7 linked regions of the Ovis aries genome follow. The protein of the gene in region 7 purifies or fractionates together with the protein of the main gene of each other region. This does not show direct contact. Links are inferred from orthologs where the notes say so. Each region holds a gene or a part of one and is shown on either strand. Other genes may lie near its edges. The genes, in order: RAB6A, RAB9A, RAB24, RAB7A, RAB10, RAB6B and GDI1.

The links.
Region 1: the proteins of GDI1 (region 7) and RAB6A purify together in Homo sapiens (affinity purification with mass spectrometry; 3 studies listed by BioGRID and IntAct, counting the BioPlex papers as one, with this or other methods). This does not show direct contact. The link is inferred for Ovis aries from reciprocal best matches to the Homo sapiens genes GDI1 and RAB6A.
Region 2: the proteins of GDI1 (region 7) and RAB9A purify together in Homo sapiens (affinity purification with mass spectrometry; 3 studies listed by BioGRID and IntAct, counting the BioPlex papers as one, with this or other methods). This does not show direct contact. The link is inferred for Ovis aries from reciprocal best matches to the Homo sapiens genes GDI1 and RAB9A.
Region 3: the proteins of GDI1 (region 7) and RAB24 purify together in Homo sapiens (affinity purification with mass spectrometry; 3 studies listed by BioGRID and IntAct, counting the BioPlex papers as one, with this or other methods). This does not show direct contact. The link is inferred for Ovis aries from reciprocal best matches to the Homo sapiens genes GDI1 and RAB24.
Region 4: the proteins of GDI1 (region 7) and RAB7A purify together in Homo sapiens (affinity purification with mass spectrometry; 4 studies listed by BioGRID and IntAct, counting the BioPlex papers as one, with this or other methods). This does not show direct contact. The link is inferred for Ovis aries from reciprocal best matches to the Homo sapiens genes GDI1 and RAB7A.
Region 5: the proteins of GDI1 (region 7) and RAB10 purify together in Homo sapiens (co-immunoprecipitation; 4 studies listed by BioGRID and IntAct, counting the BioPlex papers as one, with this or other methods). This does not show direct contact. The link is inferred for Ovis aries from reciprocal best matches to the Homo sapiens genes GDI1 and RAB10.
Region 6: the proteins of GDI1 (region 7) and RAB6B purify together in Homo sapiens (co-immunoprecipitation; 3 studies listed by BioGRID and IntAct, counting the BioPlex papers as one, with this or other methods). This does not show direct contact. The link is inferred for Ovis aries from reciprocal best matches to the Homo sapiens genes GDI1 and RAB6B.

What each region holds. Positions count from the first base shown.
Region 1 is NC_056068.1:51,877,339-51,881,334, reverse strand, and holds the end of RAB6A (ras-related protein Rab-6A), read left to right. Parts: intron 1-150; coding exon 151-217; intron 218-1,220; coding exon 1,221-1,285; 3' UTR 1,286-3,495; downstream 3,496-3,996. UniProt on the Homo sapiens protein: The small GTPases Rab are key regulators of intracellular membrane trafficking, from the formation of transport vesicles to their fusion with membranes.
Region 2 is NC_056080.1:11,842,909-11,845,470, forward strand, and holds RAB9A (ras-related protein Rab-9A), read left to right. Parts: upstream 1-1,439; coding exon 1,440-2,051; downstream 2,052-2,562. UniProt on the Homo sapiens protein: The small GTPases Rab are key regulators of intracellular membrane trafficking, from the formation of transport vesicles to their fusion with membranes.
Region 3 is NC_056058.1:36,477,137-36,481,197, reverse strand, and holds the start of RAB24 (ras-related protein Rab-24), read left to right. Parts: upstream 1-1,255; 5' UTR 1,256-1,663; coding exon 1,664-1,780; intron 1,781-1,863; coding exon 1,864-1,932; intron 1,933-2,139; coding exon 2,140-2,218; intron 2,219-2,325; coding exon 2,326-2,393; intron 2,394-2,482; coding exon 2,483-2,582; intron 2,583-2,780; coding exon 2,781-2,831; intron 2,832-2,969; coding exon 2,970-3,032; intron 3,033-3,134; coding exon 3,135-3,199; 3' UTR 3,200-4,061. Other genes in the region: PRELID1 (PRELI domain-containing protein 1, mitochondrial), read right to left, coding at 61-286, 872-963.
Region 4 is NC_056072.1:59,086,961-59,090,995, forward strand, and holds the start of RAB7A (ras-related protein Rab-7a), read right to left. Parts: upstream 2,806-4,035; coding exon 2,753-2,805; intron 659-2,752; coding exon 532-658; intron 1-531.
Region 5 is NC_056056.1:33,317,340-33,321,562, reverse strand, and holds the start of RAB10 (ras-related protein Rab-10), read right to left. Parts: upstream 2,805-4,223; 5' UTR 1-2,804. UniProt on the Homo sapiens protein: The small GTPases Rab are key regulators of intracellular membrane trafficking, from the formation of transport vesicles to their fusion with membranes.
Region 6 is NC_056054.1:256,161,431-256,164,953, forward strand, and holds part of RAB6B (ras-related protein Rab-6B), read left to right. Parts: intron 1-23; coding exon 24-117; intron 118-2,925; coding exon 2,926-2,992; intron 2,993-3,523. UniProt on the Homo sapiens protein: The small GTPases Rab are key regulators of intracellular membrane trafficking, from the formation of transport vesicles to their fusion with membranes. Rabs cycle between active GTP-bound and inactive GDP-bound states.
Region 7 is NC_056080.1:80,001,163-80,005,464, reverse strand, and holds the start of GDI1 (rab GDP dissociation inhibitor alpha), read left to right. Parts: upstream 1-1,480; coding exon 1,481-1,525; intron 1,526-2,597; coding exon 2,598-2,705; intron 2,706-2,873; coding exon 2,874-2,973; intron 2,974-3,121; coding exon 3,122-3,256; intron 3,257-3,703; coding exon 3,704-3,902; intron 3,903-4,167; coding exon 4,168-4,299; intron 4,300-4,302. Other genes in the region: ATP6AP1 (V-type proton ATPase subunit S1), read left to right, coding at 1-68. UniProt on the Homo sapiens protein: Regulates the GDP/GTP exchange reaction of most Rab proteins by inhibiting the dissociation of GDP from them, and the subsequent binding of GTP to them. Promotes the dissociation of GDP-bound Rab proteins from the membrane and inhibits their activation.

The sequences.
Region 1 (3,996 bases), on a different chromosome or scaffold from region 7:
TAAATAGACATTTTAATGTGTTTTAATTGTGCTAAGGTCTAAGGAATAACCGAGAAGCCATATCCTTTAGCTCAGCCATCCAGTGGTCTTTACTTGATGTCATTTGCTGAATTTCCCCTCCCAATTATCATGTCTTTTTTTTCCCCATAGCTCTTCCGACGTGTTGCAGCAGCTCTACCTGGAATGGAAAGCACACAGGACAGAAGCAGAGAAGACAGTATCCTTTTTGTTTCATAAGAAAATTTGTTGTTAACATAGGCCTTTAAAGCCCAACTTTGTTGACTTAGGAATATTATGCCATTGCCTTTTAGAGCTAAGAATTGATGGTTTGGGAGCAAAAAAGCTCTGAGTTTTTCTATAGTAAATGCAGTCTGGTTATCCAAGTGCACTCTTTGCAGCCTGCTGCTCACTACAGTTAATCAGTGACAGGGTGTTTGTTTGTTTTCCCTGCTTGGTTTTTAATGAGCAGGAAACTCTTAGCATCCCACCCTGCTGCTGCTTAATTTTGACTCCTCTTGACTCTGGGCTTTTTCACCACAGTATATATCTTACTTTCTTCCCCTGTGTTTTCTAACATTTGAGCTTTCTACTTGGAATAGGCAGGAGATAACTCAGTCTAGAGCTTTATCACTGCCTCTGCTTTCAGAAATGGGGACAGAACAAAGCACATATAAATTATTTATTTAAAAGAGTTTTTATATTTTCCTTATTTGTCACATATTTATCTTCTAGTGTTTTTCTATATGCAGACATTTTTATTAAAAGCCATGGAATTCATAGCACTTTATAGTCAGCTCTTCCCATTTCTAAATGTTATGTGTTTTCTAAGCCTTTATTAATAGTGTGATGTGTTCTACCGAGTTGAAGCCCAGTTGTTTGTTAAATTCTGTCCCTATTGTTGGAACTCTCGTAGGCTGTTTTCAGATTTTTGTTACAGATAATTCCTTAAGGAACATCATCTTTGTATGGTTTCTTATTCCTGTAGAATAATTACCTTAGGATAGATTCTGATGAATAGGAATTAACCTTGTTCGGAAACTTGCGGCATATAGGAGATAAAAGCACATTTATTTCATATGAGTACTTCATGTGGTGGACTAGCTATATAGGAAATAATGGATGAGTAGGCTCTGAAGCCAAATAGGAATGGGAGAATCGTTGGTGTCCAGGAGAATTGGAATTGTACTTCTCTGTTTATGGTTCCTTAACTTTTGTTTCAGTGATTGACATAAAACTGGAAAAGCCTCAGGAGCAGCCAGTCAGCGAAGGAGGCTGTTCCTGCTAATCCCCCATGGCATCTTCAACTTTGCTCCAGAAGCTCACTGCTTTGGCCCCCTTACTCTTTCATTGACTGCAGTGTGAATATTGGCTTGAACCTTTTCCCTTCAGTAATAACGTATTGCAATTCATCATTGCTGCCTGTATCGTGGAGATGATCTATTAGCTTCACAAGCACAAAAAAGTCAGTGTCTTCATTATTTATATTTTACAAAAAGCCAAATGATTCCAGCATATTCCAGTGATAACTTTAAAAATTAGATACATTTTCTTAACATTGTTTTTCATTTTTAATGTTACGAGAATGTACTTCAAAATGATGGAACTCTCAACAGTATGTGGCTTGGTTACAGAATAGTTATTCATAGGAGTACTTGCCTATGCCGACTTACTTGATCTCTCCCTGCTGTACTCACTTTTCCTTTACCCCATCTCCTAGTCCTACCCACCCTCCCTCAACTAACAAGAGGAGGCAAAGCCAGACCAAGTCAGACCAAGCCCACTGGATTTACCTTGTATTTTAGCGATACCACTTGCTCTAGGCCTTCAGCCAAGATATCCAAAATTATTCTTGAGCACTGATATAAATTACTTAGACCTTAATTGAGGTCAAAGCTCAGCTATCATGGAAGGCAGTGCTGGAATAAGGAAAGGGTTTCTGATGTGTCTTCAGAATGAGTCCCAATGACCAATACTTATAAGTAAATGAACATAAAATATATTTCTGACCAAAACAAATGATCCTTGCACATGTTAGACTCTGGGAGAGAAAAGTAAAAGTGCTTCAGAACAAGTTTTAAATATTTAATTCTTCTAAGAGCTAATTCTCCCAAGATTTTAAAATTGTCAAAATAGAGTTCTGATTGAAAAAGAAGACTTTTTTAAGCAATAGATTTCTCTTGAGTTTATTTCTTCCTTTGTTTCTTTTTTTAAAAATGCTATGCAGGCAAGTCACTGTAGAAATCAAATTCCTTTAAGAAGAACCAGTGTAAGAATTTAAATTTGGCATCTTGATCAAAACTACTGTAACAAGTGGAAACAATGATATCTAAAGCGTACCAACTGTAGACTCTTCAGCAGAATAGCAAATGCTTTGCCCAGGACATTTGAGATCAAATTAAAGATGGAAAGTTTTCTTATAAGCCCTTAGAGGCAGATCTGAACAAGCATACATAGAAGAGGGAAAAGAGAGAATGAAAATAAAACTTAACATTATGCAGATTTATGCCTTATTTTTCAGCATTTTTTTTTATGTTGGTTCTCTCAACCTGGTTTTGCTTTTTATTAGATCTGTATAGTTTGGTTAATTAGTGATTCAGTTTTATATTTAAGCTATAATTAATCTTTTTTCTTTGATATTTATTTCTTTGCCTTTTTAACTATTAATTTTTAGATATTTTATTCAGTCTTTAGAGCTTCATCACAATGGCAATATGTATTTCCCTTAAAACACTGCAAACAAATATACTAGGAGTGCACCATTTTAATCTTTACTAGTTATTGTGAGATTGCTGTGTAAGTTAATAAACATATTTGTAAATACATTGTTTGCAGGAAGTAAATTTCTGAGTTATAGCTCAGGAAAAGCCTGCTGAATTTATGTTGTAAGCATTACTTAACACAGTATAAGGATGAAAAGACAGCAAAAATATCTTCATACTTCCTCATCCCCTCATTGCAACAAAGCCCTTAACTGGGAGAACCTTATTCCCCTCTCTTTCCTCTTCCTCCTCCACTTCCCACTTACTATATCACCTTATAATATTCAGAGAGCACTTGGATTATGGGTCTGAATAGAGAAATGCTTTCAGATAATCATTAGCCCACATACCCCAGTAACTTGTACTCAAAGATGGGATGGAGTTGTAAAGTGCTTTTATAATACAATATTATTGTTAAAGGCAAGGGTTGACTCTTTTGTTTTATCTTGACATGGCATGTCCTGAAATAAATATCAATTCAATATGGCAGATGGGTCGGTCATATTCTTTATTTGGAAGAAGTTGTGATTTCTGATATGGGGATGATTGTCTTCCTACACTGTAGCATTTGATGTATCTTTAAGGCAGTAACCAGTTATGCTGCTTTTAATATTGGTCTTTTTATTTGGCTTGGGGATCTTCAACAGAAGCAGTGAAGTGTGTTCATAGTGCAGATTTTCTGTTTAATAAAGTTTTGCTGCCAAAAAAATGTATAAATAAACACAAAAGAAAACAATTATTGACTTGGTTTCCCATTCCTGCCAAAGTAATGAATTACCATGTGCTACTTACTTCCTCCCAAGAACTATAAAGGGAATATGGAATCCAGATAAGTAACAACAAAACTGAGAAACCTCAGGGGAATCAGAAGACTCTCTTCAGCAGTTGAGAGTGAGGGAAAGTGGCTGCAACTTGAAAGATAGGGTCACTGGTGGAGGCAATAATAAGATGTTTCAAGGAAAGCAGTTTAAGTTTTGCTTATGCCATCTCACTCTTAACTCCACTTTTGCTTTGAGACAGGAGTGACTAACTACCCTTCCACCAAATCCAGCCTGCAACCTGTTTTTAAATTAAATTTTGTTAGACCTCAGCCATACTCGCCTACAAAGACTGGGTTGAGTAGTTGTAACCGACTTTATGGCCCCCAAAGCCAAAAATATTTATTATCTTTTACAGAAAAAGGGGCTGATCCCTGCCTTAGGGCAAACCACAACTAGCCCCATTACTATAGAAATGG
Region 2 (2,562 bases), about 68 Mb from region 7:
ACTACCTTCCCATTGAGGGATTCATATTATCTACTTTCATGGGAAAATTAATTGCCATTTTTGCTGTAGGGCTGTGCTATCCAATACAGCTGTTTGCTCTTTAAATGTGACTATTCAAATTAGTTAAGACTATATAAAATTTAAAATTCATTTCCTTTCTCCCACCAGGCACAAGTTCAGTGCTCAATAGCCACATGTGGCTAGTGGCTGTCATATCAGACAGTCCACATGGAGGGTGCCTCCTTCGTTGCAGAAAGTACTGTTAGACGGTACTAAAAATTGTCTGCTTCCAGAAATTTTAATATCTTAAAAAGCCATTTTATACTGAAATATTTACAGACTACATGCTATAATTTGATTCAGAATAATTTGGGAGAAGGGAAAATGGAACACTATGGAGGAAACAGGATTTGCTGTAAGTTGATAATTGGTGAAACTAGGTTTAGGGCCTGTGTGGTATCATTATATTATTCTCATTATTCCAAAATTGTGTATGTTTGACATTTTCCATAATAAAGAGTTAAAATAGAAGCCTTAAATACAAACAACGCTCCCACCAGGCTGTAAATAGGTGGCTGAGTCTTCATATGCCACCCCACCCCACCCTTGCCCTCCTCACTGGTGCACGGGGCAGTCTAGTCCTTCCCAGGGCTTCCCCTCAAAGCATGGGCACCATACCACATTTTGGTTTAAGGTTCATTGCATCCCCCTTCGAAATACAAGTAACAAACAGCCCAGGCTCGCATTTGTTCAGAAGTGTTGGAGCTGCCCAAACGAATCTTGTGGGTAGAATGTGCTAGGTTACTATATTATGATAAAAATTCCATTGGTGCTGACATTAATGTTAGCCAATACAAAAAAGTGTCCTCAGTGAAGAGAACAGAGTCCTTTACTCAAGTGGTTGGCTTTGGTCTGTTCACAGCCAGATCAGTGAACTCTGTCCCCTGTTCCCTGCTTGGCAGCTCCTATGGTGATAGTGTTGGGAGAGAGACAGAGAGGATTGGCTAGAAGCCCCCTGGCCTGAGAGGAAAGCCATCAGTGAACCATGCCACCAGAGGGCAATTTGCAGTTGCTCTGGAAATGTGCCCTCTTCGGTCTCCTGGTGCCTCTCTAACAAATGGTGGCAGGGCTTGTTGTGAGCTGAGAGGATGGTTTGGGGGTTAGACTCGGCTTTGACTGCCAGCCTCAGTCAAGGGTAACCAGAGGAAGGGGAAGAACGAGCCCTCAGCAGTGGTCGTCGGGAGTGACGGTAGGATGGAGCCTGGCGCGAGGTGCAGAGCTCAGTAGCTGACATCTCTGGCTGTCACGTATTCCCTGCGTTTTCTTTCCCTTAGCACTGATGTTCAGAGAGGCACGTGGAACTAGGTACAGGTCTAAAGGAATGTAATGGTACTCTTCTGTTTTACAGGGTTCCACAGTCAGAGATCTTGAGATTAATAATGGCAGGAAAATCATCGCTTTTCAAAGTCATTCTCCTTGGAGATGGTGGTGTTGGGAAGAGTTCTCTAATGAACAGATATGTGACTAATAAGTTTGATGCCCAGCTCTTCCATACAATAGGTGTGGAGTTTTTAAATAAAGATTTGGAGGTGGATGGACACTTTGTCACCATGCAGATCTGGGACACGGCTGGTCAAGAGCGCTTCAGAAGCCTGAGGACGCCGTTCTACAGAGGTTCTGACTGTTGCCTGCTTACCTTTAGTGTCGATGATTCTCAGAGCTTCCAGAACTTGAGTAACTGGAAGAAAGAATTCATATATTACGCAGATGTGAAAGAGCCCGAAAGCTTTCCTTTTGTGATTCTGGGCAACAAGGTTGACATCAGCGAGCGGCAAGTGTCTGCAGAAGAAGCCCAAGCCTGGTGCCGGGACAACGGTGACTATCCCTACTTTGAAACGAGTGCAAAAGATGCCACGAATGTCGCAGCAGCCTTTGAGGAAGCAGTTCGAAGAGTGCTCGCTACCGAGGATAGGTCAGATCCCTTGATTCAGACAGACACGGTCCGTCTGCACCGGAAGCCCAAGCCCAGCTCATCTTGCTGTGGAAGTTAGAGAGGTAGCGACCTGACCAGCTCACCCACATGCACAGATGGGCTCTGGGCGGAGAAGAGGGTACGCGTGTGCAGCGACGCATCACATACTCAAACATTAACCGTGCCTGTCAGTGGGTGGGGGAAGCGACACATCCCCTCACGAGAGAATCCATTTACTCAGTAACGGCGCCTGACACGCACCCATTGTAACGGCTGTCTAATAATGTTTAATTTAAATATGTATGTTACAGAGCTAATAAATGAAATGACCAAGACTTTATAATTAAAACACTTGAGTATCCTAGAAGTTACTGTCTTTTCCCTGGGAATATGGAGAACTACTTTTTCTATGTGTATATTTTTATGTAATTAGCATTCTGTTCTGGTTCAGGGAAAGCATGTCCTAAAGCAATAATGTTAACTATTAAAGATCAAAATTGAATGCATTTGCACTGTGGTTATTTGATTACTACTTCTTTCTCTTTATGTTCATTTTTTCACTCTGCGTATCAGAATTGATCTCACTAGTA
Region 3 (4,061 bases), on a different chromosome or scaffold from region 7:
TCCCTAGCCACATGTATCCAGAGCGCTCTAGTTCCGGGGGGGACGTGAGAGGGGTCTCACCATCAGCCGGGCGTGGTTGATGTTCCAGGTGAAGGTGGTCATGGTCTGGTTTTGTGGGTCCACAATAGAATCCTCCAGGATGTACACTGAGTGAGCAACATTGGCAGGAAACAGTCGCTCAGCCCAGCGGGGCATCCTGTTCGTCTTGGTCAGGAGTCGGCGGGACAGGAGCTTCTGGTCAGAGGTCACCTCTCGGTGCACTATGTCTTCCGTCAAGACATGCTTGCTGCAGGTGTCAGGGTGAAGGTGACCCTCAGGAGCCTGACCCTGGGAGACTGCCTGCTGAGGTTCCCATCTGGAGCCTCCACGCTCAGAATGGCCAGGCCTTTTCCCAAACTTTCAGAGTAAGCTGTGGTTGTGGCTCAGACCTGAACTGGAGCCTTTGAGCCTCTCCCAGGGCAAATTCCAACTCCCGCCCCCTCGCTGACCTGGATTCCTGGGCATTCCAGCAGGGGTGGACCTCCTGATTTACTGCACCACTGGAGAGCAGTCAAGGGCAGAGAAGCAGGCAAGCGCCCAGACTTCCAACCCCAAGATCCCTCCCCAATTCCTGTGCTGCTTCCTCTTCCTGTCTCACCACACTGAGATGAGAGAACCTTAAGACTAGGGCTTCAAGTAATCCACTGCCCAGGCCCAGCCTCCTTCCAGTACCCTGTAGGCCTAGTCTGGCCGCTTACCCGATAGGGTTCTTCTGCCCTAAACATGGCCAGGCTCTGGAGATCCCCCGACTCAAAGTCGAGTCTTTCCCGGCCCCCAGACTCCGATCTCCAAAGAGCGAGGTAGGAGGGTTGCTCTTCCCAGGGCCACGTACCTATAGGGATTCGGGTACCGCTGCCAGAAGGCAGCGAACACTTGGTCCCAGGAACTCCGGAGCACGCTCTGGCCCAGGAAATACTTCACCATCGTCCCGGCCGGGGCGGGCTCAGCGCCCGAGCAGCATCAGGGGTGCGGAGCCCGAGGGGCACGCGGAGGCCGGGCTGGAGCTCGACGCTCAGCCGCCAGGCTAGCAGCAGGTCAGTCGCTACAGCGCCGCACCCGACCAGCCACCGCCGCCGCCGCCGCCATGAGGAATTATCGGGCCGCGCGCCACTTCCGGCTCAGCAGTGAAGTACCCACCTCTTCCGGTGCCTGCCCACGTGACCCGACGACCCCGCCCCCACACTCTCCTTCCCCCTACACCCCTCTCCCCTTCCCCGGCCCCGCCACCGCTGGAGTCGCGGCGCTGCGGGCCGGAGCTGGGTTGGAGGATCCCCCTGGCTCGGTGGGGAATCTGTGCCGGCGCGGCCTCTAAGCTAGGTGGGCGAGCGAGCGGCAGAGCGAGCTAGCAAGTCGGGCGGCGGCGTGCGGCGCCGTTAAGGGCGCTGCCCCGCGCGCTCCCAGGCCGCCCCGGGTCCCAGGCTCTTAGGAGGAGAATTCCTGGGCCCGAAAAGCGGGGGCGGACGGAGGCGTTGTCATCGCTCAAGCTCGTTGCGGCGTGTGGAACCTTAGGTTGGCGCCTGGGGTCGGGGACTGAGGTTAAGGGCGCTGCCTGTCGGAGCGGAGATCCGGGTTTGCCTCGCGCCCCCGCTCAGGACCCTGACGCGGGTGAGGCGGCCCCGGGAGCATGAGCGGGCAGCGCGTGGACGTCAAGGTGGTGATGTTGGGCAAGGAGTACGTGGGCAAGACGAGCCTGGTGGAGCGATACGTGCACGACCGCTTCCTAGTGGGGCCTTATCAGAATGTGAGTGCTCCCGACGGGGCCCAGCACGGGTGGGAGGGGGCTAGCCGACACGCGAGGCTCTGATCGCTTCCCCTTGGTTGCAGACCATTGGGGCCGCCTTCGTAGCCAAGGTGATGTCTGTCGGAGACCGGACGGTGACTTTGGGTATTTGGGTAAGTTCTCTGGGCACGTAATCTGGGAAAACCCACTCTTGAGGAGGCGTAGTTCCTGCCTTGTACTGACTTGTGGGCTCACGGGGGTTTCTGTTCTCTAGACCCCAGTTTAAAAACAGGGGTCTGGAGGACGTGATATTAGTTTGAAGTCGTGGGGAGTATACCTTCGTAACTCAGGCCAGGGCTGAGCCTCCCCCTGCCCTTCAGGACACAGCAGGCTCTGAGCGCTATGAGGCCATGAGCCGAATCTACTATCGGGGCGCCAAGGCTGCCATCGTCTGCTATGGTAAGAAGAGTTTTGGCCTGTTGCTCAGACAAGAAGGGGAGGGTGCCAGGCTGGCCTTATAGAACAGCCCCTCACCCTTGGTTGTGTTTCCTGTGTTCCACACCAAGACCTGACAGACAGCAGCAGCTTTGAACGGGCAAAGTTCTGGGTGAAGGAACTGCGCAACCTAGAGGAGGTAGGTGGCCTGACCTCACCAGAAAACCAGGCAGGGGCTGGCGGTCTGGTGGTCCAAGGGAAGTGACCCTGACCTGTCTTCTGCTCCAGGGCTGTCAGATCTACTTGTGTGGCACCAAGAGTGACCTGCTGGAGGAGGACAGGCGGCGGCGACGAGTGGACTTCCACGACGTTCAGGACTATGCAGACAGTAGCTGCTCCTTAGCTCCTTGGGTTGGGGAAGGAAGGGGCTGCTTGGGTGGGTCACAGAAAATAGGGGCTGCCTTGGCAAGATCCCCCACAGGAAGACTTTCTCTGGCCTCCCTGCATCTTTCAGAAGAGTCCCTGTACGGCTAGTCTGTGCCCACCTAATTCTCAGGTATGAGGCTTTAGTCTTTTCTCTTTACAGATATCAAAGCTCAGCTCTTTGAAACATCCAGCAAGACAGGCCAGAGTGTGGGTGAGTGCTGTCCTTGGCCTCACAGCAGAACACACAGGGGCAACAAAGGAGGCAGAGGAAAGCCCAGAGGGCTGGGTTACTATGGGATCCCTGGGCTCCTAGCATCTGGTCCTCACTAATCACCCTTTTTCCTGCCAGACGAGCTCTTCCAGAAAGTGGCCGAGGATTACGTCAGTGTGGCCGCCTTCCAGGTGATGACAGGTGTGTCCTTCCTTAGCTCCTGTGGAGACTCCCTTCAGGCCCACAGCACCTGACCCCCACCCCCCGGAAAGTATGTTGAGCTACCACCTCTCTCTTTAACAGAGGACAAGGGCGTGGACCTGGGCCAGAAGGCAAACCCCTACTTCTACAGCTGCTGTCATCACTGAGTCACCACTCACTTGGCCTGGGGGGGGATTCCCCCAGGGAGTCTGGACCTAGCTCTTGTCTGGGCTTGGATGATCAAACATCTGAGCTACCTGGGTCCCAGTGGCAGCAGAGGTGGCACCTGCCTGTGCTGGCCCATGGAGCGGAGACAGCATTGGGGCTGACTGATGGGCACAAAGAGGGTAAGGGCTGATTTGGACCCCAGGCTTCTGCCCTGGACAGCAGTTGTGTCTACAGATTATTTAAATGGCTTCTGATTTGTAAATAAAATCAATGCACTGTGAATTACACTCAACCCCTTTCCCTGCTGTCTGGATTGGGTGTCAGGACACCTAGGACTTTCTGGGGCCACCTGGTTGGCCTCACTTCCTATAATCAGTGTTCTTCTCAGGTCTTATTTTCCTTTGGAAACCAAGTGGCTTCACCCTAGGGTTGCAGCTGAGATAATGGAGAAGCAAAAGGGCCCTTGCTGGGTTCTTTGGTGGGGGCAGAGATAGGGTGAAAAGCTGGGGTTGGGGCAGTGCAAAGCTCAAATGGTTCCTTCTTGGTGTTAAGAACTGGAAAGGCACTCAGGTGGTACCAGAGATCAAAAGGTCAAGCATTTCTGCCTCGGACTGGCTGGCTCTACTGCACCTCTGTCACGTCTAGGTCTGTGAGTCATCCCTGTGGCTCAGAGCCTAAGCTTCCCAGCAGCATTCTATAATGTGGCTTAATAGTAGACAAATTACAGGTTCTGCAAGACTTAGAAAGGTCTTAGAGATCCAGATTGGGCTCTAACTACCCAGAAAAGGGACTCAAACTTGGCTGTGTTCTCCTTTTAAAATGAGGTGACTAGTACCTAGTTCAAGACTATGAAGAGTATGG
Region 4 (4,035 bases), on a different chromosome or scaffold from region 7:
CCAGGGAAGCCCCAGAACGTGAAGCCTCTTAAGGAGCCAAGTGAAGGAACTGTGTTTTTCCCAAGTGTTGAAAGGGAAGCCCCTGAAATCAGATTAAGCTGCTACATGAAGAAGCCAGGCTGGCTGAACAGAAACACAACTTACAGGGCCGTGAAGCGCACAAGACTAGAAGCCAAGAAGACCACTAGAATGGCCGCCGCAAGAGCCCAGGAGAGAGGCAAGGATTCTTCAGCCTCAGCACAGGCAAGGGTGCTGGGGAAGGGACGACTTGGACGTTTTGGAGACACAAGACAGGAACCGGAAGCTGCCAACTTTACAGCAGAAAACTGAACCACAACAGCAAAACCCAGGGAGGCCAGTTAAACTCGAACTTTGGGAAAAAAAGGGAAACTGCTGGTGTGCCTCGCGGTACTGAGGACGCCCCCCCCCCCCCCGCCCCGGTGTCCCGTGCTGCGTCTGGCAGGCCGCGAGGTCTGACGGGGAGGGCGGCGCCAGGACAGAGGCGGGGCGGCGCAGCGCGGCGGCGCTCACCTGCATGGTCACGAGCCTGTCGTCCACCATCACCTCCTTCGTCAGGAAGTCCGCGCCTATCGTGGCTTTGTACTGGTTACTGAACTTCTTGTTCACGTACTGGTTCATGAGCGAGGTCTTCCCGACTCTGAAATGGGAGAAAAACCACAAGTCAGGCCGGTCGGCATCGCACACCGACTCTGACGCGTGCCATCTGGAAGGACTGTCTGTCTCGCAGGAGAACAAGGCCCGCCCCTCCCAGTGCGGGGGAAGCCTCCAGTTCACCCAGTGGCGATGCGCGCCCACCAGGGACGGACGTGGGCTACCGGCGGGGGTCAGGTCCAGAGAAGCACTCCTGAGCTCTGGTACAGCTGGTAGAGCCGAGTGTTTCCATTTCTCTCCTTCCAAAAGGGGGCTGGCAAATGCTCTCCTTCTAAAAGAAGCTCCAGCAGTAAGATCCCTGCACTTGTCCCGAAGTGTCTCTGCCATCTTGGGTCTCTCCGTTTAGTGGTGGTTCTTCAGTCCAAGAGAGTAGCGGCAGAGGCGCCCACTGGCTCCCAGCAGACATTCATGCCAGCCAGCCAGCCTGCTGCTGTTGGTTTAGTCGCTAAGTCGTGTCCGACTCTTGCAACCCCGTGGACTGTAGCCCGACAAGCTCCTCTGTCCGTGGCACTTTCCAGGCAAGAATTACTAGAGTGGATAGCCATTTCCTTCTCCAGGGGATCTTCCCGACCCAGGAACTGAACCCGGGTCTCCTGCATTGCAGGCAGACTCTTTACCGACTGAGCTGTGAGGGAAGCCCAAACCAAGTTTAGAATCTGAAACAGAAAAAGCACCAATAATCCGCCAAATTGGAATCCACCAAAGCAGGCTCCCCAGAGGGGTGTTTCAGTAAGAGAACTCAGCAAGAGACCGGGGTGACTCTTCGGGTGACAGGGCAGCAGGACAGGCTGGTAACACCTTCCTTTCCACAAAGGCAAACACTCGCTTCACCCACAGAGGACCTGGGAGGACAGCCCAGGGCAGTGTTCCCCACCCGGCCATCTGGGCCCGAATCTCCAGCGGAAGACAACAGGAAGTCTGTCTTCAGGCAAGTCCAGGAAATGGGCCGAAAAGCAGCACTTTCAATCCTGACAGTGCAGCAGAGGAACCGAGAGGCGCGCGCGGGAGGCGGGCCAGGGAGAGCAGAGATGGGCGGGGCGTGTATGTGGATGCGCGGATGCAGCCAGCGCGGGCCTGCGGCTTGTGGTGGACGCGCGCTTTTAAAAGGCTTCTCAGCGGATTAAGGAAGCCAGCCAGGGCAGGAAAACCACTGCCTTTTAGGCACACTTGCATCATTACATGATTTTCAAAAGCACGTCGCCTCCGGTCTGAGCTTTCAAGGGTCACTTCAGATGCCAAGTCTGAAAACCTCACCTGCACCCCGAGTCTTCCCAGTGACCACAGAGCTAGTCAGTTACCTGGCCAGGGGAGACCCAGGCCCAGCCGGAGGCGGGTGCAGGCGCGCCTCCCTTGCAGGCGCTCCGCAGAGTGCCTTCCGCCTCGTTTTCTCTCTTTGCAGACCGCACGTCGGTGGCGGCCCCGTGTCAAGCTAGTCACTTTTCCAACGACGTCTGCTCCCTTCACGTCTGTGTCCCATTTTGATAAATCGTGCAGTGGTTACAACTCTCCCGTCATCACTCTGCTCTGATCTGTGACCAGTGATCTCTGATGTCACTACTGCAAAAACATGAAGACTCACGCAGGGGTCAGTGGGCGGGTGGCGTTTTCCGGCAGTAAGTCGTCTTTGAACTGCGGTGTGTACGATGCTCTTCAGACACATGGTCACTGCACACCAAGCGGCGACCGCACGGTGCGATCGTGACTGTTCCGTGCCCGCAGAAGCCAGAGAGCTCCCGCGGCTCACTTCCCTGCGATGCTGACGCCGCGGAGGTGGTCTGTAAGTGCCTGCAGCGTCTCGGAGCTCTGCCTGCGCCACCAAGTATGCCCCAAACCTCCAGCGTGGGCACGGCATGCTGCCCACAGCAGCAAACCTCCATGAAAACTCTCCTCCCTCCTCTCACCAGGTAGGAAAGAGGAGCCGAATGAAATTATCACTGAGTTCTAACAGCCACCATTTTCTCCAAACGGGACAAAGGGCCCCATGCCAGGGAGACCCGGCCCCGCAGCAGGGAGAGCCGGCCCCACGGAGAGCAGCGCTAGAGCGCCACCAGGGTGTCCGCTCACGTGCGGGGACACTCACCCAGAGTCTCCCAGGATGATCACCTTCAGCAGCACTTTCTTCCTCGAGGTCATCCTTCAAGCTGGAAGGAAGGAGAAGGCACATGAGCGGCACGGAACTGCTGAGGGGAACCCCTCTCTCGGCACACGCACAGACGAGGCCCGGGAGCTCCACGCCCCAGCCTTCCGGCCGGCTCCCCGCTGCACCCGGGGCCTGGACGGAGCTCAGGCTCAGCATGGGACCCGGGCCAGGAGCGCGCCAGAGGCACCAGAGGAGCCTGCAGGAGGCGCGACCGCCGGGACGCCGGGGCAGCGTGGGTGAGCCTGAGCGCTGCTCACGCAGGCCTCCTCGGCGCAAGCCCTTTGTCCACTGTGGAGCAGCCCGCCTCTCCCCACCACTGTCTACCCCTGATGCCGCCTGGCCGTCTTCAGAGCACGGACCCTGCACGCAGCTGGAGACAGCGGACAACCTCACAGCTGGCCCTCGGCCCCCGCGCTCCTGCCTCTGCGGCTCGACCACGTGGGCTGTGCAGTCTGCGTTCTTTAAAACACTCTCACGGGCATCCCTGGTGGGCCAGGGATTAGGAATCCGCCGGCCAATGGTGGGGGCACAGTTTCCATTCCTGGCCCAGGAAGATGCCACGTGCGGTGGAGCAACTGAGCCCTGAGCCACAACCCGGGAGTTGCGACCACCGCACCCAGAGCCGAGCTCCACCCTGGGGAAGAGCCTGTGCAGCAACAGCGTTTGACTTTGCAGCTTGAGACCGTCTTTCCCCAGGAAGCCCTTCAGGAAGTCTTCTGGAGCCTGGACCAGACAGCATGAAGAGGCCCTGCTGGTGTTCAACCCCCTGACTCAGCCTGACCCCGGATCACTTTCCTACGGGCACAGGCCTTGTGGTCCTCAGGAGTGCCTCAGAGGCCTTCAGGGGGAGAGCGGTGGCAGGAGGGCAGCAGTCCTGAGCCTAGGCCGGTGTCAGGACCGCACGTGAGGACCGCGAGGAGCACCCCTCGGTGCTGACCCCACGGGAGGGCTGGGGCTGCCGCCGCCTCCAGAGGCAGCAGCGTCCTCAGCAAGGACCCCATGCCTTCCGGGGACCCCCAGCCCTGGCCCCTCCTCAGGAGGCTGGGTGGAGACGACCAGGAACCAGCAGGGGTGGCGTCCGCCTCCCATAATCAGCAGAGCGGGGACCTCGGGGCTTACACAGGACCGAGCGGGGAGGGCGTGGGCTCAGGAGAGCCTGGTGTTCTTCCAGTCTGAGCTGAAAGATGCTCCAGGTGGGGCCTGAGAAAAGCTGCCTCGATTCT
Region 5 (4,223 bases), on a different chromosome or scaffold from region 7:
AAAAACTTAGCCAACTGATGAAATTTAAAATGCCCTAAAAGTAGTACGTATTTTAAGTATCTCTAATCATCTGCATATTCGCCAACTGGCCAGTTTATACTGTTTAGACATGCACTGTCCCAATGTGCCTAATCTGAGATGAACTGTAAAGATAACATACATACACACTGGAGAAAAGTATAAAATGTCTCAACTATTTTTAAGTTTTGATTATATAATAAAATGAGAAGACTTCAGGATAAAATGAGCTAAAAGACTATTAAATACTTCTTTTCCTTTTTAAATGTGGCTACTAAAAAATCTTATGTGACTCACATTATGTTTCTTTTGGATAACACTGATGTAAGACACCAGGAGATGTCTAAACATGCATATAGAGCTAATATATGCCACATGTTGGAGCTGCACTCAGAATTTTACATCCATATATTCTGTTCAACCTGTCTTAGATATCAAAATATCACACACATCAAATATTTTTATATCAAAATATGAACATTCCAGAGTGTAAAGTGATATGTTTAGCAGAGCACTAACCAATATTTGCATGACCACTGCATACAGAGCATTCAATCCATAAAGTAACTTGTTCTGCCCCACTATAGCACATGGGGCATGTGTCCATGTATAACTGATATGCATGCACTGTGCTCCTACAGTGTGCCTGGCGGCACTTTGCTCTCATAAAATTCTCACAACTACCTTCTGTGATGGGTACTATTATTTACAATATTTAAAGAAACTGAAGTAGGAGAAAAGGTTAATTAACTTGTCAAACTGCCGCCAGTAACCTGTGGAACTAGGATTCCAACCCAGCAGGTGAGATCCCAAATCACCACACACTCTCACTACTACAGGAGGGAATTCCCTGGAGCTCCATGCTTTCACTGCTGAGGGCAACGGTTCAAACCCTGGTCTGGGAACTAAGGTCCCACAAAACTACATAAGATTGTGTCATTATCTTACAGGACTGGGTTTTAGTTGTGAGTACAATAAACAACACTGCACCCATTACAAAAGGCCAAGAGTAGATGGGAGTTAATCCTTTGCTTCCTACTTTCCACTCTACCTTTCTCAACCACAGGTTAAAGCTAACCAACGTGGATTAAATCTCTGATCTTACTACAGGTTTAGTCTACACTAAAGGGAGTCTACACTCCCTTTCCCACCCCTCTAGTTCAATTTCTACTTGTCCTTCAGACTTCATTTCAGACATCATCTCCATGCAAGCCTAATTTAGACTAAGCACCCCTCTCCCTGTGCCAACCCCACTGCAGCACTGTCCACACTCTTGTGCTTCCTCTCTAGACTGCTCCTGCCATGTTCACCACTTATCTATCTATCCCGAAAACAGTGCCTAGCGTTAGGTGCTCAATAAATATTTGCTGAAGGATCTAACCACCTGATCCACCCAGCTACAGCTAAAAGTGGAATCTTAAAAGTAAAGTTAGTGGTAGGAAGTGCTAACCCACAGGCAGAGAACAAGTTCTAAGTCTCATGAAATTTACAACAGGTCTAGAGAGCAGCATGACATTCATGAAACAAGAATTACAAAGACGCCCTCTCCCCAAAACAAGTAAAATCAAAATCTAGTCAAAACGATCTAATGCCAAATTTCAGTATTATCTGTTTTATGAGAATGAACTAAGTAACTGACACTTATCACAAGAAATCCAAGTCATCGATTCCAAATGCTATAAATTGAGATCAGCTTAAATTCGACACTTCCCAGAGTTCAAAGAAAACTATGCTAGTTTTTTATAATCATTTCAGTATAAAACTAATTACACTTAAAATGGATTTTATTGCACTTGCCCCAATGCTGTGTACTGGTCGCCAAGTGACAGAGACAACCTCGTGTTAAGATATTTATCTTGTGAGGGAAAAAAAAGGATCGCACATCCAACCCAATTTAACACAATTCGTGTAAATGACACTTAATTTTCTCCGTAGAGTTGAAAGGGACTTTCCTAGAGTCTTCCCTTTTCTTTTCCTAAACAAGAAACCGATTTAAAAGGTCAATCTTTAGCTCTTACTTTCATACTAAATAATTCTGAAACATGAGGTGAAAAGTACATTAAAAGTCCCAAGGCTATGACTTGCAAGACACTTCCCTGTAAGATGCTAGTGTAAAACAGGAGGGGAAAACTTCATTTTTTCAGGTTCGAGGACAGAAACTGACCATCTCCATCAGATTACTGCTTCTGCTGATGTCTCGAAAAGCACTGTGTGCAAACATGCCGGAGTCCCACCCCAAGCACTAAGAGCCTCCGATTGTTTGACACATCAATGGATTAGTCAACGCGGGGCAACTCACTTTTCCCTTCTAATTTACTTTAATTATTCCTTACACAAACCCTCAAGCTTACTCTAAGTTACGACCATATGGAATCTCTTTGCCCTGAAGTATAAATTCAGGTCTTTACCAAATGACCCCTACTGCTTCAACTCCAACCATCAAAATAATCCCTTACAAGTATCGTACATCTAGTAACGCCACACAAACATGGAAAAAGCCAACCCTGACGCTTAAAGAAACAGGATTCTGGAACGCTGCTAATGCTGCATATTTTGTAACAGCAGGCACTGAGCAGAGTGGGAGACTTGAGAGCAAAAGACCGGATGGAAAGCAGGGGAAGACCCCGCCCCAGAAAGCTCAATGCCGATTCAAACAGTAACTTGGTCTGTCGCTTGGAATCGGGATCACTGAAACAAAGGCGTATATTACGGGAAGCAAGATGTCTGGAGCAAAAGGAACGGTTTGCAGCTGCAGAGATCGCACACCATCCTCCCACAGGTCTTACCTATGGTGGAAATAAAGGTGGTGTTGAAGGCATCATCCGAAAAACGAAAAAGGACGCAGGTCTTCCCCACTCCCGAGTCCCCGATCAGGAGCAGCTTGAAAAGCAGGTCGTACGTCTTCTTCGCCATTGGGAGGAGCGGCTCAGGCTCTCGCCGCCGGCGGCCCCAAGGGATCGGTCCCTCTCACTACGGCCAACTCCTCCTCGCTCGGGCGTTCTCAGGCCGGAGGACCGGGGGGAACCGTGGGAAAAAGGACGGCTCGAGAGGGCGCGGGTGACCTAGGAACTGCCTCGTCGAGGAAGCCCCGACGGTGGCGGCGTCCGGTGCCTCCGAGGGCGGCGACCGCTGCTCCGCAGCCTCTCCCAGCCGCTCCGCCCGGTTCCGGGGAGTCGGTCGGGACAAAATGGCCTCCCCTCCCCCCTCAGGGTTGCTCGGCCGGGACGCTCCGACGGGCGAGCGAGCAGGCTCGGCCGTCGAGGGAGCGCGGTAGGCGTGAGGACGGCCTCTCTTTCCGAAGCAGCAGCTCAACGCTAGGACGCGGCGAAGTCAGCGAAGGAGGACCCGGAGCTGACGAGCTCAGCTACATAGCCACAGGAAAGCGAGCCGCCCCGGCCAGAGCCACCTTTTCCCCGTGCCCTCTCACGCCGGCGTGCGCGCTGCCTGAGACGCACGCAAGGACGTACGCCCGCCCTCCCCTCGCGCCCTCGTCCTGCGGTCCGCCCCTGCGCACGCGCGCCAGGGGGAGTGCGGGACCGCTCGGGGCGGAGAGTGGAGCTCGCTCTGGGTCTCCCAACCTCAGTTTAAGGCCCGGCGGAGATGAGAGAGGGGTGGGGCGAGAGAGGGCGAGGCCGCGGGCGCGCTCCCTGCGGCCGCCTGATAGGGTGCGGCGGCCTGACGAGCACGCCCCGCGGGGAGGCGCTGTATAGTGACTGCGCAGGCGCGGCATGTCGGCGTTACCCCGCCCCCCTCTCCGCCTTGACACCCCGGATTTTCTTCTTCCGGTTGCTCTCCGACTTCGCTGAGGATGTTTCGGGTCGCGTTTGACAAGCGTATGGAGCTGAGGGTGTTGGCGCAGCCACGGCCTTGGGTGGCCGTGTGTTTCCTGTGCAGCTGTAGCTTGTAAATGCGAGGAAAGTAGTACCCTGGGTCATTTAATAGCCTCTTCGCCAAAATGAGATTCGTCCTGGAGTGTCCTCCCTCTTGTTGGGGGAAACATAACAGCTCCAACCTGGTTTGCTTAAGGAACAAGAATTGGCATTCAAGAGAGCGGGAGTTTGAAATGGGAGAAATCTGGCCACGCTGCTCAGGTTGAGATGATGTAATCTGAGTTCCAGGGAGGGGAGAAAGAATACCGAGGAACACCTGGGCGCTGGGGAGACCTCCCCGCCAAATGGCAGCGCAGGTGTGTTCTCAACACTGAG
Region 6 (3,523 bases), on a different chromosome or scaffold from region 7:
GGTTCCCCTCATCTCCCCTCCAGGCAGATAACCATAGAGGAGGGCGAGCAGCGTGCCAAAGAACTGAGCGTCATGTTCATCGAGACCAGTGCGAAGACTGGCTACAACGTGAAGCAGGTGGGAGCTGCCGCCTTGACCAGGGGCCCATACTGGGCTTCTGGTGCCAGGGGCTAGTGACCAGGTGGCTCACCTGATGGGGAGTGAGTCCCTCCAGAGCTAACTGCTCACCCTCAGGGTATTGGGGTGCTCACCCAGCAGCCAGCCCCGCAGCCCCTGAGCTACCGTGGGTGTCCAGCCCTCAGCTTCCAGGCAGCCGAGAAGCAGCTCTTTCCTACCTGTTCCCTCACTCGGGATGGCCATGCAGGAGAGTCCATCCACTCAGCATTTTGGGGTTCCTGCATTGTGCTTGACAAGTGCCTGGGGCTGCGTTGGGCCAGGTAGACTTGGGGAAAAGAGCCCATCCTCAGTGCGGTTAGAGCTTACAGGAGGGGGCCTGCAGAGTCAGACTCCTCAGAGGAGCCATAGAAGGGGTGGGGTTAGGGCTGAGCCTCGGAGCAAGAGACTTCTCACAGATGGCGTTCAGCAGGTCAGTGGACTTGGGTGGAAACGACTGCACCTGTCTCTGCACCACCCCCTGACAGATCAGCAGCATTTTCTGTGGCCATGAGCGTAGCAACAGGACTCCGTGTGTTAGTAGCTCCCCTGGCTTTATTGGTGTCTCAAGTCTCTTGAGCGTTTCCCCGCTCAGTATCTCAGGGGGTCCTCTGCCGGCTCCGGCTCTTTAACACATTCCTGAGGAAGCACAGGTGTTGCTATGTCAAGGGTCTGTATCTTTAAAGAGTTTAGAAATTTATTTCAATACTAAATGGTTTCCTTTACATGAAACTTGGGCTTTCCTGGTGGTTCAGATGGTAAAGAATCTGCCTGCAATGCAGGAGACCCAGGTTCAATCCCTGGGTTGGGAAGATCCCCTGGAGAAAGGAATGGCTACCCACTCCATTATTCTTGCCTGGAGAATTCTATGGACAGTGGACCATTCATTTCACATGCTTGAAAGGAGGCCATAGCCTTCACTAGCCTGCCAAAGGACCAGTTTTTGGTTCAGAAAAGGTGAGGATCCCGTGTCTTCAAGGAAAAGAGGACTTGGATAGCTGATGAGGAGGGGGCTGCCCGGGCAGGGGACTGGCATGGGCACAGGTGGGGCTGGAGGGGCTTTGGGGCCTTGCCAGGGTCACTTCTGCCCTGCCAGCCCCAGCAGTGTCCAAGAGCGCTAGACAAGCTGCCATGCAGCAGCTGGCCACACGCAATGAGGGTTTGAGGGTTTACCCCACCTGGGCAGTGCTGTGCCAGTGGGAAGTGGCAGAGGAGTGGGACGGACAGAATGAGCTCCCAGACCCAGGGGATGCCCCCGCCCCAGTTGGAGGGCCTCAGCATTGCTCTGTTCACTCATGCCCCCTTGCCAGCCTCCCCGGTCCCTGGAGGCCTACAGGAGACACCAGGTTGTGGCTCAGTGTGGTCCTGATGGAAAGGCCTGGAGGGCAGGGAAGCAGAGGTCAGTGGTCCAGAGGGCAGGTGGCCTCTGCCCTCAGCGGACAGAGATGCTGATGCCCTCTTTCCACTGCCCCCTTTCTGGAAGCCAGGCAATGGTCTGAGCAAGAGTTGTGTATAGTCAGTTCAACCCCAGATGGTTCAGAGGAGTCTCTGTGCGGTGCAGGCTCCTGGACTCTGAATGTGAGCCTGTCTGCTCTCAGAGGCCCCTATGTGACCCTTAGAGCTTCTGTTTGATTGGCAGCTTGGCCACCGACAGAGGCTGTGACTATTTTGACAGCCAGACAGGCGGAGTGGGGCTGCCTGGAGCATGGTTATGGAGGAAGGCTCAGTGAGTGACTGGACTTCTGCACCCGCTCCTACCCCTCTCTGCACCCCACCCACCAGCATCTTCCCCACTTGGGGGCCCTCACCCTCACCATGTTTGGTCCTGTCACCCAGCCTGGGTGGTCCCACGTGACTGGGCTCTGCCTTGAGACCATGAATGAGCCTCAACCTGTCTTCAGAGAGCTCAGGCAGTTCCTAGTTCAGAGCCCACCTAGTTTCCGCAGTTGGTGTTTGTCAAGAGATGGGGAGAGCATTCAGAATCTTCTGCCTTGTACTTGCTGTCATCCCCCTAGGTTCCATCCCCCTAGGTCCTGCCACCGCCCCCTGACACCCTGCCCACCCCTGCCCCAGTGAGCACATGCACTCAGACACACACCACACAGCTCTCCATGCATACTTACAAACACACAGGCACAGAAACCCCGCATGTGCACATACACGTCGCACAAACGCACCCCCCCACATACACACACAGATGCCGCACATCCACATCCACACCACACACACTCCTCTACACACAGTACACGCAGTCACACTCGCCCATGCCCAAGCAATATCACACTCACACTCCCACGTCCTTATTCCCTCTGAAAAGTCTCCTCCACTCTGACTGTGGCCCTGGCTCCTAGAAGCCAGCTGCCTCGATGCTGTGCACTCGCAAGACTCCCTGAAGAGAGGGTCATTGTCATAAGGGCAGGTTGAAAGCCACTTCCCCACACCTGGCCCCCAGGTGGGCGTTGGGACAGAAGCTCCCCAGGGCCTAGATCATTTTCTGCCTGAGGGTGGATCCCTGGCCATCACCATGACCCACACTCAGCCCCCGAGACCCTGAGGCCAGACTGCCTGGGTGAGAGGCCTGCTGGGGCCCAGTGCCGTGAGGGGTGCTAGGGGGTGGGAGGGAGAAGTTGGGTGCAGTCTCTGCTGTCCAGGATGCAGTCAGCGGGACAGGACAGGAGTAGAGCCTGAGGTCAGTGAGAAGAGGCAGAAGGTGGGCATGCCGGGAGCAGAGGGGGAAGGATGGGGCTCATGCTGCACCTCCCCTCTCCCTAGCTCTTCCGACGTGTGGCCTCGGCTCTGCCTGGAATGGAGAATGTCCAGGAGAAAAGCAAAGAAGGGAGTATCCTTTTCTTTGACAAGTGAGTGAAAGATGCTGCAGAAGTCATTTATTCATGGATTTATCACATGATGTATTAGAACAGTGGACAAACCCTTGCCTGGTCCCCAGGCCAGCTTTCCTGATGGGCAGCTGTGCTGTGGAGGCTCATATGTACAGGAATGAGGCTGAACTCCAAGGTCTTCAAGACCCCGTCCAGCTTGAACTAAACAAGCTTCCAGAACAGAGTAGGGGTGCCAGAGGGTTGTGTGTGGAGTGACAGCGTGGGGCAGGGAGTGAGAGATAGTAACTGCCCTTCTTTCTAGTGAACACAGATTTGTGTTTCACGTGGACAAGCAGAATCTCCACTTCCGTACATTCAGACATGATCTCAGCATGGTTCAGCCTCCTCTACATGAGACAACTGCCTCCTCAACCCAGCCCGGCACAGCCTGGGGCCTCCCCACTGCCCCGGGGACAGGGTCTGCACACCACTCACCCAGTCCACTCCAGACCTTGGGCCACACTCAGAGGCTGAAACTGAGGCTCAGAGAG
Region 7 (4,302 bases):
GCCTCAAGACAATGGACCGCTTCGACGACCACAAGGGCCCCACCATCACTTTGACCCAGATCGTGTGATTCCACACCTGTAGGGGCGGGGGATGGGGGGGGGGATTGAGGGCGTGCCTGAGGTCCAGGTTGTCACCTTCCCATCAGAGGCCCACTGGGCAGGAAGGCTTCTCCCTCTTCCGCCATTGCACGACTCCCTGGCTCCCCCTAGCTTGTCAGGCTACCTGTTCAGCCTGCTGAGGGTCTTCCCTAGGCTGCCCACTCCCCACCACATCTCTCTCCACAAGGTGTATATATTTCTGCATAGACAGTAGACAGATCTCCCAGGCTTGATCATTATAAAGGTAGGGGCCATCAGTTCTACAAAATCCACCCCCCTTCTCCTTATTTATTCTGATTTCTCCACCTTCGCTGCTTGCTGTTGATAGTGCTTTTGTGTAGCCAGTCCTCTCTTCCCAGGCTCTATGGGGTTCCTTGTAGCAGCCAGGAGCTGTTCCATTCCCTGAGTTTGGGGGGGAGTGTGGAAGTACTATTTGTCTGTCCCGCTTAGCTGGCGTTATTATTTTATTTTTTGGTGATGTGCTAACAATAAGACGTACACTGGGGTTTATTCCTTTGGCCTAAGAAGGAAGGGATCTACATGGCAGGTGGGATGGGTGTGATCACGGGGTTTGGGACCTGTTCCTGTCGGGAGTACCTGGCAGGAGCCCTGGGGTGCTCGTGGTTTCCTTCCGAATAAAATAAAGACGGGTCGCCATGCTTGGGCTTCTTGTCACTCATTTCTGCGCTGGGCACAAGGAAGGGAGGATGCACTTGGCTGACGGCCGAGAGAGGAGGCCCGAGGATGGAGGGATGGAGGCTGCTTTTCCAGGGACCAAGCGGAGGCCGAGAGGGTTGTTTGCTAGCTGGGTTTCCCCCGGCCCCCGCCTCAGCGACTAGGGGAGGGCGGGGGCCGTCAGCGCCCGGGAGAGGGAGGCGGGGGAGACGGCCACGACAATAGTCGCCCCCACGTCCCTAGGGGCCCGCCTCGGGCTGCTGCAGCAGCGCGCGCCCAGCCGGCGGGGCCGCGCCGAGCTTCCCGGGGCGGGGCGCGCGCGGCTCCTGCGCACGGATCCCTGGCGGACCTCAGCACCGTCTGCCAGGCCGCGCCGCCCCGCCCCGCCCCGCCCCGCCCCGCCCCGCCCCGCCTCACCGCCCTCTTTTCTAGGCCCTCGGCAAAGCGGCGCGGCCCGCCGAGTGGCGCGAGTGCTAGAGCCCGGGCTCCAGCAACCCTCCCCGGGAGGCAAGCGGGGACAGCAGGGGCCCCCGGTCGGCGCGGCGGCGGAGGGGAGGGGCCGGGACTCTTTGACGTGGCGGAGGGGTTGAGCGGCACGGTTGAGCCGCCATCTTTGGTCCACTGCGGCGGCGGCGGCGGCTGCGGCGGCGGCGGCGGCTGTGGCGGAGGAGGAGGAGCCGACGGGCGCTGACACCGAGGCCTGACCATGGACGAGGAATACGATGTGATCGTGCTGGGAACCGGACTCACCGTAAGTGCGGCCGCCGGTGTCCAGGGCGCCGCCTGTCCTCCTCCCTGGGATGCTGCAGCCCCCGGCCCCATCCTCCCATCAGTGCCTGCGCGGCGCTGTTCGGTCCCCGAAAAGATAGCCCCGTCCCCAACCACCGTGACGCGGCCTCCATCCCTGTCATGGCCGGTCTGCCAAGAAGCGGCCCCTTTTCTGGCTGTCTCTCTTGACCGATTCCCCGGGCCCGACCCCCAGCCCCTACCCAGGACCAACTTAACATCCCTTCTCATTTTGCGCTCATTCTGACGGGGATGTCGTGGTACAGGGACCTCCAGTCAGATCGGGGCGGGGGGACTTCCCAGGGTGGGCTTTCATCCTGCCTTCCCAGGTTCTTAGGGGGCCCGAGGACCCAGGGAATGTTCCAGAAGGAGCCGTGGTGGGGACCGTGACCACATTCCCACTACCCCACCCCGGTTTCCCATGGAGACCTCGGGGCTGAGGCGCATTTGCAGCCTTTGTCCTTGGGCTGGTGACAGTGACTGGTGAGGTTGTTTGCCCTCCCCCGAACCCTGTTGGACTGCTGCCCTGAGAGATGCCTCCCCAACAGTCGGGTGTGGAAGCCCCTACTGTGACGGGGAAAGCTCAGGGTCAGGGGTTCCTCTTTGAGGAAAGTGGCCCAGGGTGGGGCCTGGGATTTCGGCACCATGCTAAGCCTTTACTTCCTTTTCGGGTCCTTTGCTTGTCCAGCTAGGCGATCCCTGTGTTTTATTTGCCTTTTTGTGGGCTTCTACGTCGATAGATGATTTTCTTGGCATCTTGGTTGCTTGAAGACCATCCATGTGTCTGCTGGATACCCTCTTCCTTGTTCACCTTTTTGCCCAGCAAGGTTTTAAAAGGAAACCATGGTCAAATGAAGGTGTCCCCCCCCCCCCCCAATTTCAGGCAGAGCGACCAGCCACAGGTGCAAGGAGCTGTGTGTTGAGGCAGAGGCCCTTCAGGTTGACTCTCCCCTCAGGGTTGGAGTGGGGAACATGGTCAGGGCTGCTTGTGGGAATGTGGGCAGATGGGAGTGCAGTGAACATTGCCCCTCACTCAGGAATGTATCCTGTCGGGTATCATGTCTGTGAACGGGAAGAAGGTGCTGCACATGGACCGGAACCCCTACTATGGGGGTGAGAGCTCCTCCATCACCCCCCTGGAGGAGGTAGGCTGCTCTGGGCCCAGGCCTGTCCCTCGTTAACCTCTTGCATGGGGTGCTGAATGAAGCAGCTCCCCAGGTTTTCTGGGTGGGGGGCGGGGGCAGGGGCGGGAGTGGGAGGGGGTTCCTTGAGATGCATCTTTCTGTCTCTCTTTTCCCTTCTGCTGCCTGCAGCTGTATAAGCGTTTTCAGTTGCTGGAGGGGCCCCCTGAGACAATGGGCCGGGGCCGAGACTGGAACGTTGACTTGATCCCCAAATTCCTCATGGCCAATGGTGAGGGAGACGGAGGAGGTATTGTGGGAGGCGGGGTGATTGGGACGAGCAGAGAAGGGTCAGACTGCAGACCAGGGACAGACAGACCAGCTTGAGCTTGTGAAGGGAGCCATGCTGACTGTGTTGCCTTTCCCACACCGCCCTGCAGGGCAGCTTGTGAAGATGCTACTGTATACAGAGGTGACACGCTACCTGGACTTCAAGGTGGTGGAGGGCAGCTTTGTCTACAAGGGGGGCAAGATCTACAAAGTACCATCTACCGAGACTGAAGCCTTGGCTTCCAGTGAGTGTGGGTCCCATGAGCCAGGGAATCGGGGTGGGGGAAGGGGGGATAGCTATCAAGAGCAGGATGGCCCTTGCTGCAGGCCATGTTTCTTGTGCAGTACCAAAAGCCCCTTGCTCTATCATCCCCCTGTGTGCACCCACTGGTTGCCAGGAGAGGTGTCCAAGTGCGAAGGGAATATGGTGTCCTGGACAGAGGCTTCACCTGATCAGTGAAACATCCCCAAGTGTCAGAGCTGGGAATGCTCTCAGAGGCTGTCCAGCCAGACTCACTCTTGGTACAGTTGAGAAAACAGGCCAATGAGCACAGAGGGGTTAATTGAAAATCACACAGTGGTCAGCAAGAGAACTCTGCTGGGAGTTAGGGCACCGGCTTGCTCTGCCTGCCTGGCAGGTGGAGAGGGTCACGGCCCGTACCTCAGTGGTGCTTTGCATGTGGCCCTCACAGACCTGATGGGCATGTTTGAGAAACGGCGCTTCCGCAAGTTCCTGGTGTTCGTGGCAAACTTTGATGAGAACGACCCCAAGACCTTTGAGGGTGTCGACCCCCAGAACACCAGCATGCGTGACGTCTACCGGAAGTTCGACTTGGGGCAGGATGTCATTGACTTCACTGGCCATGCCCTAGCGCTCTACCGCACTGATGAGTGAGGGGAAACTGGCATGGCAGATGACCCTTCAGCCGGCCCACACCCTGCCCTCCCACTCCTGCCTGCTGCTCCCTTGGCTCACCCTGCCTACCTCCCATACTCAGCTCCGGGCTCACTCACCTGTCGCCTTTTCTGTCCCTTCCTTGTGTTTGACCAATGGTCTTTCCCAGGCCTGCAAGGGTGGGAAGGCTGGCCTGATGCCAGGGTGGGGGTGCACTGGGCCTTCTGCTCTTGGAGCCTCTTCTGACCCTATTTCTCCCAGCTACCTGGACCAGCCATGTCTCGAGACCATCAACCGCATCAAGTTGTACAGCGAATCCCTGGCTCGGTATGGAAAGAGCCCGTATCTGTACCCACTCTATGGCCTTGGCGAGCTGCCCCAAGGCTTTGCAAGGTG